2 linked regions of the Coturnix japonica genome follow. The protein of the gene in region 1 interacts with the protein of each later gene in a biochemical or structural test. Links are inferred from orthologs where the notes say so. Each region holds a gene or a part of one and is shown in the gene's direction. Other genes may lie near its edges. The genes, in order: DLG3 and CYSLTR2.

Region 1 (8,627 bases):
TGCATCAACATATCAGGCCTCAGCCCAGAGGGCTCCCCGTCCTTCTGGTCCAGGAGCTGCTTGTGTCACCGTGCTTAAAGAAGGATGTGACCCAAGAAGAGCACATCCAGCTCTCTGCTTAGTGCTCCATCGCTCATCCATGTCCCGGTTGAAGCCAAGACAGGGCTACTGCAGGAGCTGCTTCTATGCCTGAGCCCAGCCAGGCCCTTCATTTCAGCCCTGTGGCTGAGATCTGGCACCTGAGCTCACCGTCCTGGTGCAGGTGGGTGCTGGTGCCTGGGAGGCAGAAGGCGTGTGGTGATGCTGAGTCCTCGGGTGCTCACAGGGCACAGTTCCTGTGATCTGACAGTTCTCTCTGGTCTGGAAGATGAGCTGGTGCTTTGCAGCCTGCACACTGATACCGCTGCCAGAAATGAGGACCTGCAGGTAGATATTGGCTGCTTAGTCAAAAGCAGACCACTCTATAGCTGTTCCTGCAACAGTTCCACATGGGGTTATAATTTAGCCAGTCGGGACAAGCAGGATAAAACTGGAAGGAACTGGAAACAGCGGCAGCTTTCACAACAGTGCAAGATTTGGTGCTGCTCTTCTGCTTCCCAGGAGAGGGGAGCCCCAGCTTACCTGGAGCCACCGCAGGGAGGGAGACCTATGCTGACCCTCAGCTGCCGTGCTGGCTGGGGAGAAGGTTCTTATTAAATGTAGCAGAGAAGCAGTTTCTGATAGTCAGCGAGGCAGCTTGCTCTGCAGGTGGCTGGTGTGTGGTGTGCCTGTTGCTTTTACTATTTATGGAGCCACAGTTAAAAGGATTCAGCTCGACAATCAGTGTGACTTGTTCTGTGTTGTTCCAGACCCCCTCGGGGTTCCTCATAGTGGAAGGAGGTGATGAGCAGGGCAGAGGGTGGTGTTATTATGGCTTTCCCCTTCTTTTCTGCCTGGATGAGGCCGGCAGCTGGCTGAGAAGTGCTCACCGTGCCCCCACACTCTGCCTGGGGGGAGAGTGGGGCTGACCTTGTAGGAGTGAAAATGGGGCTCCCAGTTGTGCCACCAGTAACAGTGCTCTGAATGGCGGCTCAGCTGTTTCCATGCATTGCTGAAGGATGTGGAATGGAAAACAGGTCTGGTTTGAGATCTGACATTGGTAGGATGAGGCCCCTGAAAGCAGCTTGTGGCAAAGGGCTGCAGTGGAGGCGGGCGATAAGGCTCCAGTCGCTTGCACAGGAAGAGCATTAGTGCTTCTCTTCCTTAGTTTAAAAAATAATCATCTTTTCTGCAGCTGGGTAATTTAATATTGGAGATGAAGCTCTTGTACTATAACTAAATAAACTGTTCTTAGGGGAAGCATTTAAAAATCTGGAATAGTTGTAGAATCAGGTAAGCATTGAGTTGCACTCATAACTCACAGAGCTCTGGAATCAAATACCTCTACACGTAAATAAGAGTGAAGGCTGTGTGTGCCCTGCAGCCCATGGGCATGACTTCCTCCAGCAGCAGGGCACAGTCAGCTCCTGGCCATCTCACACCCTTGTTGCTCATGGCACAGGGCAAGCTCTCCATTCCCTGCTGCAGGGCATTCTGTTGGCCTGCAGCTTTGCTCATGAAGGGTGCTGGGTCTCGCCCTCTGAACAGATCAGCCGGGTTTTCCCTCTTGTGCTGCTTTCCTGATTGGCAGCGGGGTACCATTTACAACCTGTTATATTTTTTTGAGGCTGCTGAACCTGTTATATATTCTTGTTTGGCTGCTTTCTGACCACAGCCTTCTTGAGCATCTGTGTGGTTTGTGTGCTTCTTGCAGTTCATGTCAAGAGCTAGTTTGTTGGCTGTCGTTTCTGTGGGGGGTTCATGGTGAGCACTTCATCCACAGCCTAATGAGGTCTGCAGTGCTGCTGCTTCCTTGGCAGGGGAGGGCTTCACTCCTCTCTGTGCTCCTTTGCAGAGCTCTGTTTGACTATGACCGGACCCGGGACAGCTGCTTACCCAGCCAGGGGCTCAGCTTCTCCTATGGGGACATTCTGCATGTCATCAATGCCTCCGATGATGAGTGGTGGCAAGCCAGGCTTGTGACACCTCACGGTGAGAGCGAGCAGATCGGAGTCATCCCCAGCAAGAAGAGGTGAGTGCCCATCAGCAGGAGCTGACTTGCATGGTGCTTTGGTCCTGTGAGCCTCGGGACCCAGCTTCTGGATCTGCACCGTGTGGCAGATCTGGTGGTATCAGCATGAGGAATACGTGCAGCATTATGGGCATCCCAGGGACTAGCAGTATCTCTCTCCCTTTTAACTTCCAATCAGGGTGGAGAAGAAAGAGAGAGCACGATTGAAAACGGTGAAGTTCCACGCCAGGACTGGCATGATAGAGTCCAACCGGGTGAGTGCTAAGCAGGCATAATGAGCCAGTGTGCTGTAGTGGGGCAGGGTGAGTCTGGGCAGCTCAGTGCTCCCATTGAGAGCAGCCAGAGCTGTCCCAGAGCAAGGAGCAGTGCAACGGACTGTCTGAGGCACAGCTCCCCTCAGCTGTGTGCAGGGTGGGAGCAGAGGGGCTGAGGCAGCTGTGAAGGTGCTGATGACAGACAGTGGTTTGGTAGCGGGGTGTCTTTATGGTGGCAAGGGAGCAGAGCATGTCCCAGCACAGCCCCGGCAGAGCACACTGGTGGCTGGGAGCTGAGTGCAGGTGCCTGATGCTGGCAGAGCTTCCCTTGCATGGAGTGAATGGATGAGGCAGTGAGAACAGCCGTGCTCCTCCTGCAGAGGCTCATCAGCTTCCCAACATCCCTAAAAACACATTTTTCTCCGCATTCAATTATTTTTTTCCTGCATTACAGTTTTCATGTAATCCCCATGATTTCATTCCAGGGTAACCGCCCTTCCACAGCTCCTCATCGTCTCTCCATTTTAATTTTCCTTGCATGCGTTAAACGCCATTGTTTTTTCTGTCCTCCCCTCCATCTCCATCTTCTTCACAGTCGATCAAAACGAAACGTAAAAAGAGTTTCCGCCTCTCTCGAAAGTTTCCATTTTACAAGAGCAAAGAGAACCTGGCCCAGGAGAGCGGCGGACAGGAACGTAAGTAGCAGCTGGCCAGAGAGGGCAACGTGCAACCCCCCAACCCCCACCTCCTGCCTTGAGGAGGGGAGATGTGCCACGTTCCCATAGCCAGCAAGCACAGTGCCTGCCTGTGTTGGCCAAACTGTGCTGCTGCTGCCAGGCAGGCTGAGGCCATGCACGTGCCCTACTGCACTGGAGCCTTCCCAGCCACCGTCAGGCATGGATGTGGCCCAGGGCTCGTTCAGGTTCTGTGCCCATCAGCCCTACCTGCAGCTAGGGAGCAGCCTGAGCCTGAAATCAGAGCGGTAGCTCCTGTAGCACTCGGGGTGGATGCCAACCGAGTGAGGGACCTCCCGGCTGCATTTCTTGTCCCTGTGCACCTGCTGAAGTCCCAGGCATGAACGCCCTGCACAGGCAGGCTCACTCAGCTGCTGCAAGCCCAGCTGCCTCTGGCTGTGTCTCTGCACGGGCTGGCTCTCTTTCTCGTGTTTGGTGTCTTCATCCTTTCATAACTTTATACTTGCCTACACTCCTGCTCTGCCTCTTCCTGCTCTCTCCCATGTGCTGTGAGCTCTGCTCCCTCCCTGTGCCTGCCAAGGGCTGCTCCCCCTCCCAGAGCAAGAGGTGGCTGAGCAGTGCAGGAGCTTGGCCCTTGTCCTCAGGCTGAGGGGGACATCTTGGCTGTGCTCACTGTCTCCCATAGAAGTGACTCTCTGCTACCTATTCCTGACAGTCTCCAAGCCTTTCCTGTAAGTGAAACCCTGTGGCTGTGAGGGAGGTGTGCTCTCGCTGGCAGAAGCACTGCCCACACTCAGCAGCTGAGACACATCCTGGCTTCTTGGCTGCAGATTGTGGGGAATACCCAGCTCTCACCCAGGGCTCCCAGTGAGGGCTGGTTGTGCTGCAGCTCCCCTCTCCTTGGCAGGCAGGGCTGTGCACAGACACATCCTGTGTGTAGAAAAGGATGAGAGAAAGGGGTAGGGGTGTAACCTTGAGACACCTCCAGGTTTGAGAGCTGTGCTGAGTGTTCAGCTCCTCGCTTCAAATCCTGACATCAGGAATGCTGGTGCCTGCAGTAGGGAAAACTGAGGGTCAGCTGCACAACTCCTCTGGAGCAAACTCACTTCTTGAAAGTGTTTTCCCTGTGCAAGGATGGAACAGCCTGCCCTTGCTGGGTTAGGTGAGCAGCTGTGCTCAGCCTCTCCTCTTTCCAGGTGCTAAATTGCATCCACTCCTCCACTGAGTGTTCACAGAGAAGGCTGCAGGTGTTGTGTTTTTGGAAAGAGGAGAGCAAGTGGGCAAGGCGGAGCTGTGTCCCTGCCCAGATGCCAACACATTGAGTGCTCCCCTCCAGCACCCTCCTGGGTTTGGCAGGGGGCAGCTGGAACCAGGCTGCCATGGGGCAGTGCCCACTTCATTCAGCCAGGCTGCATGGAGGTCTCAGTGACAGCAGTCAGCATGATGGCTGTGATGGTGTGTGAAGTCTGTGTGTCCAGGTTCCTGCAGGGCATGTGGCTGGGCATGCTGGAAAGCCTCTGATGGAACAGGACTTGGCCATTGGAAGCTTTTCCTGTCCTGGCTACCCTTGTTTTGTTGTAGGGTGTGGGCGCCCTGCTCTGTGTGCAGGGCATGGCCATAGCTGGTAGCTGTGGGAAGCAGTGAGGATGTGACCTGTGTTGGAGGTGGTGTAGCAGCAGGGAATGGGATGGCATGAGGGTGCTAATGGAGCACAGATCAGCTCAGTGCCTGCAGCTGAAGGTCACTGAGGCACTGCTCTTGGCCTGCCCTGCAGTATGGGACATATGGCACAGGCACAGGGCAGGCTGTGCTCTTTGCCAGCAGCATCAGAGCAGCCTGCAGGCAGCTCCCTTGCCATGCTCTGCTGCACTGCCCATCCTGGTGCCCTGCTTGCAGCAGGGGGATGTGGGCAGCTCATGCACACAGGTGGGGAGAAGCATCCCCCAGCCATGCTGTTAGAGGTGTGGCAGTGCTCGTTTCCCCTCCAGAGGGGCTTAGGGGAGAGCAGAGTTGCACACTGCGAAAGACCAATTGAGGCTGTATGGAGAAACGCTTTGGGGCTGTGGCAGAGCTTCAGGGGGACCCACAGTGGCCTCCAGGCGCAGCCAGAGTGCTGTGAGGGTCTGCTGGGCGTCAGCAGCTCTTGGTGAGATATCGGTGTCACCGCCGGGAAACGTTTCTTAACATCACTTGCAGTTACAGCTCTGGGCAGTTCTGCACTCCTGTCACTAATGCTCATCTGGCTCTGTCTTCTTCTCCCCTCCTCTCTGACCTCCCCTCTCCTGCGCTCTTTTCTCTCCCTTCTCCCCCTTCTCGCTGTCTGTGAAATCAGGACTTCCCTGGGTTAAGTGACGATTATTATGGAGCAAAGAACCTGAGTAAGTGGAATTGCAACACGCATCGTTCACTTTCCATCGCCAACACACGTTGGGGGTGCCTGGTGGCTGTGCTTCTCTGGGTGTGGGGCATGAGGAACCCCATGGGTTTGATTGCCTCTCCCAGCAGAGGGCTCTGAAGGTGCTACACTGGGGAGGGGATGGGCAGTTTGCTTGGGGGATTTGGCTGTACCCTAAGCGCACACAAGGGCCTGCCCACGGCACCCTCGGGAGCAGGTGAAGGTGTCGTGCCACCTTCCTTTGATGGTGTATGATTGCCCACGTGCCCAGAGCTGCTTGGCTGCACACCCCAAACCCTGCAGAGCTGTTCTGAGTAAGGCAGGCAGCGGCCAGCCTCTGTGGGGAGGTCACAGCACTGGGATCAGCCAAAGCAAAGCAAAGCCCCGAACTCTGTCCCATCCTGTCACTGTCTCGTCTCTGTGAGTCCCAGCCCGTCCCTGCAGGCAGCTCCCCACCCCTGCCCTCCGTGTGCATGCTGCACCCTGCCAGCCCTGCCCGCAGCCCCGCTCCCAGCACCTCCCCCATCTCAGCATAGCCAAGCAGAAGAGGTTCCCCCACACATACCCTATTCCCCCTGAGCGTGACAAAGGGCAAGAGTTCTGCCCCAGCACCCCACTCCCAGCCCTCCCCATGGGTGCCAGGGTGCCTTTCTGGTGGTGCCACCTGGCTGCCCTGCTCTCAGTTGCCAGCACTGGGTGCCAGCTTGCGTGCCCTTGGCAAGCGCTGGCTCTGAAGATGGTCTCTCTGGTTGCTTTGCAGAGGGCGTGACATCAAACACCAGTGACAGCGAGAGCAGTTCCAGTAAGTGTGCGTCTCTCCTGCTGTCTCACCTCTGTGTGTGTGTGTGTGCACTCCCATCATGTCCTGTCCCAGTGTTGTTTCTATTCGGAGGCTGTTCCTTCCTGCTGGTGGTACTGAGATGCTGGGCCAGCTGCCATCATGGGTTATGGGGTGCAAGACAACTTGGGTCTGGCCGCAGCCAGTGCTCCCGTTACCCCCAGTGCTCCTCTACATGCCTGCAGTGCACCCACAGCTGTGCCCACTCATATCCAGGCCTGCAGTAGAGGAGGAGGAGGCTGATATGGCTGGGTGTGAGAGCCTGTCCTCAGTGCAAGGGGTGGCTGGGGCTGGGAGGCTGCTGCCAACGCTCACCCGTCTCTCCTTGGCTCTGTTTCAGAAGGACAAGAGGACACTATCCTGTCATACGAGCCAGTGATACGGCAAGAAAGTAAGTCCTTGTGCTGGGTTGTGGGCATCAAACCCCCTCCCCCAGTCACAGCTGTGCTGTGCATGACTAGCTGGGGTGATCTTCAGCTCAGCAGAGCTGGGTTTGGCCCCTGCTGAGGATGGGTTTGGAAAAGGTTTTGCACCAGAAGGCAGTAGGACTGGAACAGGCTGCCCAGGACGGTGTAACAGCCCTGAGTGCTGGAGTTCAGGGGGTGTTCAGGTAATGCTTTCAGTCACAAGGTTTGGGTTTGGAGTGTGGAGGCAGGAGCTGGATTGGTGATCCCTGTGAGTCCCTTCCAATGTGGGATATCCAGGGGTTCTGATCTGAGCAGTACCCCCTTAGCAGTCCGTCCTTGCCAGCATCTGGATCAGTCTCTTAGGGCCCACAGCCTGCATGTCCACATGTCCTGGCTGTCAGCTCTGTGCCTCGAGCAGCAGAGCAGCTTTGCTGATCTTTGACCTATGAGACTGTGGCACCTTCCCTGGAGCAGATCCTGCACCTGGCCCAGCTGCACGCTGCCAGAGGGGATGGAGATGCTGCATTCCAGCTGCCTGTACACATCGCCTGGGTTGCATGTGGATGATATTGAACGCAACCTGGAGATGAACTTCCACAGAGCTTCCAGGGTTGGTCTGAGCTGTGGCTTTTGTTTGCAGTTCACTACGCCAGGCCTGTGATCATCCTGGGGCCCACAAAGGACCGAATTAATGATGACCTCATCTCTGAATTTCCACACAAGTTTGGTTCCTGCGTGCCACGTGAGTCCCCGCAGAGGGCAGAGCCATGTGGGTTCAGGTGGGTCGCACCGGCTCCACTCCTGATGCCTTTTCTCCTCCAGATACCACCAGGCCTCGGCGTGACAATGAGGTGGATGGACAGGATTACCATTTTGTCACTTCTCGAGAGCAAATGGAGAAGGATATTCAGGACCACAAGTTCATAGAGGCCGGGCAGTACAACGACAATCTCTACGGGACCAGCATTCAGTCAGTGCGGGCGGTCGCAGAGAGGGTGAGTGTCAGTGGCACCCCCAGGGATGTGCTTGCAGTGTCCTTCCTCTCCCCGTGCCCATAATGAAGGGTACAGACCGCATCCCTACACAGCCCACGTGGCTGCTTTGCTCCACCTCGGTGCTTTGTCTCGTTTAGCTCAGCTCCGCTCAAACAGCTGCACTGGGGCACCAGCTCTGCCTTCAGGGGTCCGTGGCTGCTCTTGGTGGAGCAGTAGTGTTTCATGCATAGGGGAGCACTGATGGTTTGGGAATGACTTTATAAGTGTCATGGGAAAAAACAGAGTCCCTTCCCGTTGTTGTGATCCTGCCATAAGCAGACAGGAATGTAAGAGCTGTGGGAGTTGCCTGGTGTCTCAGGAGCAGAGTTTCACCTCGGTGGCTCCTGTCTTTGTAAGCATGTCCCTGTGAGCAAGCTGTTCTCTGCCCAGAGCAGACTGTGTGGGTAGGTCTGATCCCAGTCGTCTCCTTTCCAGGGGAAACACTGCATCCTGGATGTATCTGGCAATGCTATCAAGAGGTTGCAACAAGCACAACTTTATCCCATTGCCATTTTCATCAAACCAAAATCCATCGAAGCTCTCATGTAAGTGCAGCGACGTGTTCTGGGGTGGGTGGTGCTGGCAAGCTGGGGCTTTGTACTTCTGCTGATTCTGTGCTTTAGAAAGCAGCAGATGTTGCTGGTGATGCTGAACATTGACTGTTCACTGGAGCTGGGCCCATTGCTGTGTTTCTGGTCTCACAGTGGGTCTAATGCTGTGGGTGCATCCCATCTCCGTGGATTGTTCTGGTTTAAAACCTTCATTTGAACCGAAGAGGATTTACTGTGGCAGTAGAGTAATGCTCCCAAATGTGTCTGATGGGCCCTGCCTTGCTGGGCCCTGAGGCAGCCACAAAAGCTGCTGAGAGCCCACAGTGCTGGAAAGGCTGGAGGT
Region 2 (9,166 bases), on another chromosome or scaffold:
CTAAAGAAAGAGAGATTTAGATTAGATGTTTAGGGGAAGTTCTTTACTGAGAGAATGGTGAGCTGCTGGCTCATGTTCAATTTGGTGTCCAGTAGGACCTGCATGTCTTTCTCAGCCAAGCTGCTTCCCAGTTGGGTTATTCCCCACCAAGGGTAAGTCTTTGCACTTCCTATTGTTATACCTCCTGAGGTTAAGTTAGCAAGGACTCCCTTGATGTGAAAGTGTATTTGGTGTTGTCTGGTGTTTACGTGGAAAGACTTGCAGGCTGTATTTAACAGCGGCATTTAACCACCAAATGTAAGACATGGAATACCTAAACCTGATCATTCTGACTTTGCAACCCTTACGATATTTATTTGTCCATCTGTTGTGTCATGGTTACTGTAAAACAGACAGTAGAAAGGCATTAAACAATGTTTATTATGCTTCTGGTTTCTATATTTATGTGAAGAAAGATTTCAGCAGAATAGCACAGCGTTAACTACAAGATAAACACAGTCCATAGCAGAGCTTTCTGAGTAGGGAACTTAGGATGTCTATTCTATATAAAAACAACATTAGATGTCTCTTGTCATTCCATTTAAATATTAACATTCATCATCAATATAATAAAGAGGAACACAAAACAGTTAAGAAAAGACTACAGGTGATAAAAAAAAAAATGTCATGACTAATGTTGCAAAAAGAAACAGCTTGAAAACCTGCTGTGTTTTTCCATTCTGAATATTTCCTGTTAAAACTGCCAATAGTCCTTCACCTTTCTTCATGCAGCTGTCACATTCATCTGCCCATCTATCCAGCCTTATGGCTGACAGCAGATGAGCTGCTATCATTCAATGACATTTTATTCCTGGATTGAACAGAAAATGAACATAGGCTTTGCAATTTTAGTCTCTGGAAATAGATATGTGTTAGTAGGCTAAGCTGCTGTGCTGAAGAAGCGCAGCACTAAAATCTTCAATGGTGGTATTTTCTTGAAGGATCCATTTTAACAGAAAAGTCCCTTGATTTACAGAAGTGAAACTCTGTTTGTGTCTGTAGATAGCAAAATATTGACCAAGCAACAGGAAAAATATGCAGACTTCTTCATTTGACTTGCCTTCATCATTTGATAGCTGCCCTGATGCAGCAGGTTGCCCCATCTCCCATGTACCATTCCCACGGCCGTGGTGCTGATTTACAAATGTCTCTTTGTTCCATAGGCACTGGCTGATGAATTTGCATGGGTCTGTCAAGCTATGCGTTGTGTCAGAGACCCAGCCTTGCCCAGGTATATGTAAGGCAGCCCCTTTTGCTGCAGTGCAGAGCAGACAGAACCTGTCCAGAGACTTCAGGGACAGAGAAATGGACCAGGTAGCGGACCATCATAAAATCTACGTGACTGTAGGGGGCCTGCAATGGTTGTTTTTCTTGCCACTGTGGGCTGAATAGAGCAAACCCATCATTCATGGGCAATGCTCCTGCACAGGGCTGGAGAGAAAGTAGGTCTATGGGGAAGGAGAATTAAAAAGAATGAGTCAGTCTCTCGTGAAACTGGGCTGTTGTTGGGAACCAGAAATGCAAAAGGGAAGAGAAACAGAGACAAGAATGCATGTAAATGCAGACCAGATGGATGGCTTGCATTCTGTTGTGCCCTGGATCCTCTGTGAGTTTACCAGGCGTCAAGATGCAGAAATAACTGGAGTTGTGAGCTGTTGAGTATGATGTGCATATGTCATCTTGTAATGAGACTTTGATTCCTTGTGACATTCTGCCATGACTTCTCCAGAATTGCTGAAGTTTTTATTAGTAAGGAAATATAATAAATTCCCCTCAGAAGCTGAGTCATCCAATGACTATACAAAACATCTCAAGCAGTCACCCAAAATCCAGTTTTTCTGGTGCAGCGAGAGTTGGTAGCCAATTCCATCTATCCAAACCCAGGCTAAAAGCAAAACACAGCATTCCTTTACAAAAGAGAGGAAGCAGTACACTCCAGAAAACAGGGTGTATAAGGATGTGAATGTGAGAAATTATCCTGGCAGTGAAGATACCTTGAGTATATGGGAACAGCCTGCCTATCAGACTCAGTGTTTATCAGCACGGGCCATGTGATAGAGATGCTATTTGACTGTCTCTGTGCTGTCTCTGTTACTTGCTGATAAGATGCAGATAAGATTGGATGGGGCCCTCAGCAGCCTGATCTAATGGGTGGCAGCCCTGCCCACAGCAGGGGGGTTGCAACTAGATGAACTTTTAGATCCCTTCCAACCCTAAGTTGTTATATAATTCTATGGTTGTATGATCAGATACCATCTCAGCGGGTGGAGCATCTCAGAAGCCACAGCCCTCCTCTGGCCATGACTTTGATGTCTGAAGTGGTAGTTCCCATGCTGCTCCTTGTTGCGCACCACTGCTTCCTCCCAAAAGGCTCTGACACTGAAAGCTGTCCTTCAAGCCACTTGTGGGATCATTTCCTACTCTGCTTCAATCCAAAGGGAATGAGCTGAGACCTCCTGTTTCAGGTGTCTGGGGTGAATATCTCCAAGGCTAAATAGGGTTTGAGAGCACACATTTGAGCAACTTTGCTGGCAGACTTTGGACTGGGACAGTAAGCAAAGCAACTGGAAGAGGACAACTATGCAAGGCCCTCAGTGCAACGAGAGCAGGCAAGGTCTGAAGTTACTAGTCTAGTTCCTTTATAAGCTGGTTTTCCATGTCCTCCTTCAGGTCTATGCTTTAAAAAGCTTATAGCACTGCTTACAAGCTGTATGTACCTCCTCCCTGGTGCAGGGATCTGTGAGCTCTGGTGACACTCACCTACACAGCCACTGCCTGCTGCAACTCCAGCCCCACATGGGGAGCAATAGGGCTATTACACCTCTTTGGTAGTCCATGTATACAGCTAAAGTGAAGAGCACTAGCAATAAATGACAGTGAAGTGCAGGTGGCCAACAGAGGGGAGATTACAAACAGGATTGTCCAAAGCAATTTGGGATGTAAACGACTGTAAGTGTAGGTGGTGAGGTTTGCTGGGAGACTCTCCAGCTACTGAACTGTAGTACATAGCAGGATTCCTGACCTACTGCCAGCTATCACAGCACAGCTGAGGCTGGCAGGGCCCTCTGGGTCCCTCTGCTCCAGCCCCTGCCCCAGCAGGGACACCCAGAGCAGGGTGCCTAGGGCTGCATTCACGCAGATCTGGAAGATCCCCAAGGAGGAGATCCCACATCACTGGGCAGCCTGTGCCAGTGCTCTGTCACTGCACAGCACAGAGGTATTTCCTGATGTTTATGAAATGAAACACAGCACCTAGAGATACATCTGGTCCTCCCGTGTGTGTTGACAGAACAGAAGAATAAACAGTTACATCTGCCGTGTGTATAGAACCCTATTTCACAACTGCAGTAAACTAGGAGCACTCATCTGTGCCATCTGTGTTTGGATGTGGTGCTCAGGGACATGATTTAGTGGAGGGTTGTTAGAGTTAGGGTAGTATGGTCAGGTTGTGTTTGGACTTGATGATCTTAAGGTCTCTTCCAACCTGAGCAATTCTATGATTCTATGATCCTGTGATCACTGTTGCAGTAAGGCGTTCACTGCAGCTTCTTGTTATGGCCTAAAATAGCAACGTATTTACTCCCTATCAGCGGTCAAAAAAAAAAAAAGCAGTCCCTTGGCTCCACAAACTCATCCTTGAATTGCTTGTGCTGAATATGGTTACTCATTAACCCCTAGAAGCATGCTTATGGTTTCACTCATTTCTGCACGAGAAGCCTGGGAAATAATGCTTCGTAATTCCACAGACTCCAATTACAGTGATCCATGTGAATGACATACGGGAACCTATCCTAAGAAATCAAGCAATGCCAGTTACTGAGAGTGCAGATATTTAAGTGCGGCCCAAACACAGGAATCCAGACAGTTTCCAGATGCTACATTAGCTGCAGGGCCCTTTTTGTTGGGCCAAAGCGCATGCGACACTGCCGTGCGATTGCTAGCAGCCCTCCTTGAGCTGAGAACATTTCTCTCTTAAGAAAACGTAAGATCTACTAATCAGGACCTACTTCCTTTTCTTACTACTGTTTGCTCTTGTGTGGCTTCTGCGTAAACAGCATTCGGGTTTTGCTTCAAGTTTTTGTGCTTCTGATTTCCAGCAACAAAACTGAAAGTGGTAAGCAACAGTGGGCAGAAGAAGGAGACCGAGCACACCAGAAGGCACACCAGCTGAGGTAAGACAAGGCTTGCCTGCTTTTTCTGACATAGATAGAATAGCTGCAGTGAAGAAAATACAATCTGCTTATATATTGCTTGCGGTAAGCTTTGCATATGATAGAAGCTGTGATCGTTAACTAAATTTCTCTATGACAAAGTTGGGCTTGAGAATTTTCTTTGGCAGAAAGGGTGGATTTATGTAACTTGCAGTGCTTCCAGATGGAAGATGACAGTCAAGTAGTGGGTCTGATTAAGTGAGTGCTGGCTTTTAACGAGATGACAAAAATATGTGGTCAATGGCAAACTTAAAATTAAAGAGGCTAGGAGTTAGAGTCTGAATTTATTTATCTGTAATATTGTGCATGCAGCGAGGTTAATAAAGCACTGCATGTTTTGGTGGATGTAATTCACTGTTAATTCCAAATACTGCATTCTGCTACATTTATTCTTGGTAACGCTACTCCTTAAAACACAACACGAAGACAGCAGAAGGAAAGCTAATGGGAACTTTGAGACATGTCAAAACTTTTGGTTTTCTCGAGATACAGAGGCAGATGCAAGCAATCCCAAACATAGCAGCAATGCCATGACTGCCTTAATATTATGAGTATGGGATTGTTGTGGCAGAAGCCTTCTTCTGACAGAGGACTGTTGTGATAGATGCACGGAGCACCTCCTTTTCCTGACATACAAACGGATCAATATATTTAATCTCTTAGGGCAAAAAAGACATGTATTTTGAATGAACATTCTGATACCTTTATTTATCACTGCATGTGCAGAACACCTCACCGAAAATATGTTCTCTGTGTTATAGAGATCTCAGGGTTTCAAAGTAGCGGATGTGAGAAACTTCTCAGTCTGGAAATGGAGAGTTTCCCTTTTACACTTTTAGCAGCAGCCTCTTCCAGCTCACCTCCCCCAGTGAGAGGAGATGACACAGAAAACAGCCCTCTTCTATCTGCCTGACCATAGACTCCCAACAGCCCTGATGAGCACCCCATGTGGGAACACATCAGTAGTGGTACATTCACACTATCCACCTCCTTCAGGAACCTGTAAAGCTTGACTGCATGTCTATCCTGTCTATGCTGAATTTACCCATACTTTTGAGTCCTTGCTCCGTCACCTTGCTGATTTCACTCACCCCTCTCTGCCTCTTCCCTAACTCTATAATGTCTTTTTTTGGGGGGTGCAGAGAGCAGAACTGCATGGCACATTCACTGGGGGAATGCAGGAAGGTTTTATACAAGGTGATTTTATACCAGCTGACCCAGACTTCTTGGTGATGTGACTCATTTTCTTGAAATTCTTGTTGCTTCCGCTGCAGCTTATGCAGAAATGACTTTGGCAAACAGTCGATGATGGGTCTATCACTGATGCCAAATGCCCTTTCCTCACAGTAACAGTTTCAAGTTCTGTATCATGTAAGCATGGTTTAGGTTATTTGCTCCAGCATTTATCACCTTCTACTAAAATGCTCATCTGCCAGCTTTCCAGCATGGCATCAATGAATGTCAGTGGGTGTAATTTTTTCCTCATGGAAGAGCTCTGTGACACTCCTTTGCTTCAAACACACGTCCTTGTCAGACACCATTTTGTCAGATTGTCCCTCTGATGCCATCTGCCAACAAAATGTAACAGGATGTTGTTGGGTAGGTTCCACATCTACTGCCATACCATTGCCTTCTGACTCTAATGTCATGGGCCAAAACAGTAAAACAGGAGGCATTACTTTTGGAGCAGCTCTCATATATATGGAAATCGGTCTTGGGGGTCAGTAGGCTCCCAGGCATCAGGACTGCTGACTCACAGCCCCCAGGCTTCTCTCCCACGCTGTTCTTGTAGATGAAGAGCTGCCCTAGTGATGCAGTGGTCCCCTGGAATGGCACATGATTATAATGGTGGGTTATGTGCCTTGGACAGCAGTCCAAGTCTGAGAGCCTTTGGGGTACTCATACAAATGTCATCTGGTCCTGATTACTTATTGGCCTCTCATCTGTCTATTCAGTTTGATATTTCCTACACATGTATGTCCAGTGCATCCAGCTCCTCCAACCTTACAGAAGTTTTGTTGAATCCTCTGTGATTTGGTTGTTGCTGTTGTGTGGTTTTGGTTTTGTGTGGTTTCTTTTGATTGTTTGTTTGTTGTTTTTACTGTTTTCCTATTCCCTCTAAAATGATGTCGATTTCTTGGTCCTGGGACTGCTCCTCTCTCCCACAACACTGACACTGTGAGTCCTATCATGATTGCTGGTACAGTGCTCCCTCCCTCCCTCCTGCCAGAACTGGGGCCTGTGCAGCACTAAAGATCAAAAAGCATCATGTCTTGCAGACTGTAGAACCATTTGTCCTAGGAATTAGGCATTTGTTGCATATCTTGTTCTGAACTTGAAATTCCCTACCATTACTACCTGCTTTCAGCTTTTCTAACATTTTCCTATGACTATCATTATCATGGTGAGGAGTTTGGTAGCATAACCTTAGTACTAAATTTTTTCATTATGAGAAGATGGAATGACTGTCCACAAGGACTTTCAGTCATAATATTTGTATGCAATTGCTAGTTACACAGTCCTTCCTGCACAGTGCCACTCCTTCACCTGTATATCCTACACTATCACTACTATCAAGCCAGCAGCATGGCACAGAGGCTCCCACTGATATACTTTACACAGCAGTTATTTCAGGAAAGCCACCCTTTCCTTTGCTCTGCAGATGTGCTCTCTCTCTTGCCCTAATAGCAACGCACCATCAAAAGTCTCTTCTCTTTGAAGTACATCAATCTGTGATGACTCCCTGTAAAACAGGGGGGCCAACTTCCATTAGAAGAAGAGATGTTTCCTGATCCCACACAGAAAACTTTGATGTCAGACAGTAACTTTGTACTGGGTACTAAAACTAGGTTGGATTGAGCCTTGAGAAGAGCCTGACCTGGTGGGTGGCAACCCTGCCCATGGCAAGGGGCTTGCAATTAGGTGATTTATTAGGTCCCTTCCAAGCCAAGCCATTTGTGATTCTATGATTCTATGAGATCTCCTTGGACTGCAATTGTTTTGTTGGGAAGCTTACGTTGCCTATCCTCTACACTGGCGAAGAGACTTTCAAATAAGGAGGAGATTTTCTTTAGGGGGGAACGAGTGTTCAGTTTGCCAAGTTCCAGTCTTCAGCACTCCTACACTTTATAGACATTATTGTCCTTGTTTCTTGGAGGGATGGTTTCAAGCCCTGCAGGGATGGTCACATTATTGTTGTTAGTGAAAGCCCCTGTTCCCCAAGCCCAAACTGCCGCATTCCCATCCTGCTACAGGGGATAAGCTCTGCTTCTTAGGAGCCCAGCCTGGGCAGGCTCCATTTCCCATGCTCTGTTTGGCCACAAAAAATAACTTCTGGGGCACATCTGGTTGCTGTATTAAGGGATCTGTACTCCGACACAGAGCCCTGAAGAGGTCACTGGCTGCCCTCAACATAGAGCAGCTCTTGTACCACAGAAAAGTATCTGAGTGCACAAATTAATTTCCATTTACAGCAGTGTTGCCAGTGCTATAGTGTGTAAGTGGTAGTCCAAGGTGCCCAAGCTTTCCCCGTAGTGAAATTCCAAGAACACAAATAACTTTATTCAAAATTATGAAGCCTGTGAGGTCCAAAAAAAAAGACATAACCTGCAAGCATATACCACTAGGCCCTTATCTTTCTCACTGGGATGTATTAAAACTTTTTTCATGCACTTGGAAATTTCATATTGTTCTGCTTTTTAGGCTAAATTTTTTCAGTGCGTTTCTGGGATGTGCTGGCAGTTGCAGAGAGGGCATTTCTGTCCCATTGTTAAACAAGTAGCAGAACCAGAGACCTCCCTTTAGGAGTTGGACTTGATTACATTTACAGATCCCTTCAATTTCAGGGTATTCTATAATTCTATGATTTTAAAATACTACTACTTACAGATCATCAGAGAGAAAAAAATCAGGAGTTTAGCAAGTACATTAAAAAGAAAAAAAAAATGTGTATACTATTTAGAGTGTTTTATTGACCGGTTGTTTTGATTTGATTGAAATATAGCCTTGTGGGAGTGAAAATATCACTTTCTATGGAAATAGCCTGTTTTCCACAGGCCATTTTTATTAGGGCTGCTAATTCAGGCTGCCATATAGATGAATGTCTGATGAAAGAAATGAGCACACAAAAGGCTGGAAAAGTAGTGAATGAAGAAAAGACCCCACAAATAGAGACCTAGGAAACTAACTAGAGGAAAGAAGAAATACAGTATGAGGGGGAGGGAGTTAAAAAAGAACCTTGAATGAGAACAGTATTTATAGTGTTTCAGATCAAAACATCATTAATTTATACACATTGAAGTACATCAGTGTGTTCTTGCTATCACTCAGGCATATTGAGTGACGTGCTGTCAACAGCAGATATCGTTCTAGGAAGATTAGGCTGGTTCATATTGGCAAATACAGTTACTTTGACTTTCCATCCTAATTTGAAGCTCAGACTTACTGGTGGATGATGACTTCTTTTACTGATCAGTTTTTGAAGGTTCCATGGGTGGTATCCAGGAACTCATAACCTCCTGCTGCAAAATGGCCAATGTCAAGTTGGCTTATTTTGCTTTGAGAAGGCCGGGGAATTGCCATTAAAATGAATGCATAACATCCACTTCTAAAAGACAGTTCTCTCATAATTTGAGACAAAAACAAAAAACAAACAAAAAACAAATAACAAAAAAAAAAACAACAAACCAGCTGCTGTAATACTGAAACCATTTAGAGCTGGTGTGTTCATTTACAGAGACATCACAGTGATTAGTCATTCAGGAAGCTTTAATTTCCAACGTGTCTTCTCATTTCTGCCATGTGAAACAGTCCTAGCACTGATCTCCCTGAAGAGGCTGCAGCTCTGCACTCACTTTACTTCTTTATACTTTTGCAGAAAGGCAGAGAGCTCCCACTCCAGACAATGAATTTTTCTG

What was found.
Region 2: the proteins of DLG3 (region 1) and CYSLTR2 interact in a test that uses a peptide from one of them, tested with the Homo sapiens proteins (2 studies listed by IntAct, with this or other methods). The link is inferred for Coturnix japonica from reciprocal best matches to the Homo sapiens genes DLG3 and CYSLTR2.

Annotation. Positions count from the first base shown.
Region 1 is NC_029519.1:2,428,908-2,437,534, reverse strand, and holds part of DLG3 (disks large homolog 3), read left to right. Parts: intron 1-1,933; coding exon 1,934-2,110; intron 2,111-2,288; coding exon 2,289-2,364; intron 2,365-2,959; coding exon 2,960-3,059; intron 3,060-5,391; coding exon of another isoform or gene 5,392-5,437; intron 5,438-6,214; coding exon 6,215-6,256; intron 6,257-6,632; coding exon 6,633-6,683; intron 6,684-7,339; coding exon 7,340-7,441; intron 7,442-7,521; coding exon 7,522-7,694; intron 7,695-8,168; coding exon 8,169-8,278; intron 8,279-8,627. UniProt on the Homo sapiens protein: Required for learning most likely through its role in synaptic plasticity following NMDA receptor signaling.
Region 2 is NC_029516.1:151,142,940-151,152,105, forward strand, and holds the start of CYSLTR2 (cysteinyl leukotriene receptor 2), read left to right. Parts: upstream 1-3,693; 5' UTR 3,694-4,021; intron 4,022-4,136; 5' UTR 4,137-4,211; intron 4,212-9,126; 5' UTR 9,127-9,153; coding exon 9,154-9,166. UniProt on the Homo sapiens protein: Receptor for cysteinyl leukotrienes. The response is mediated via a G-protein that activates a phosphatidylinositol-calcium second messenger system.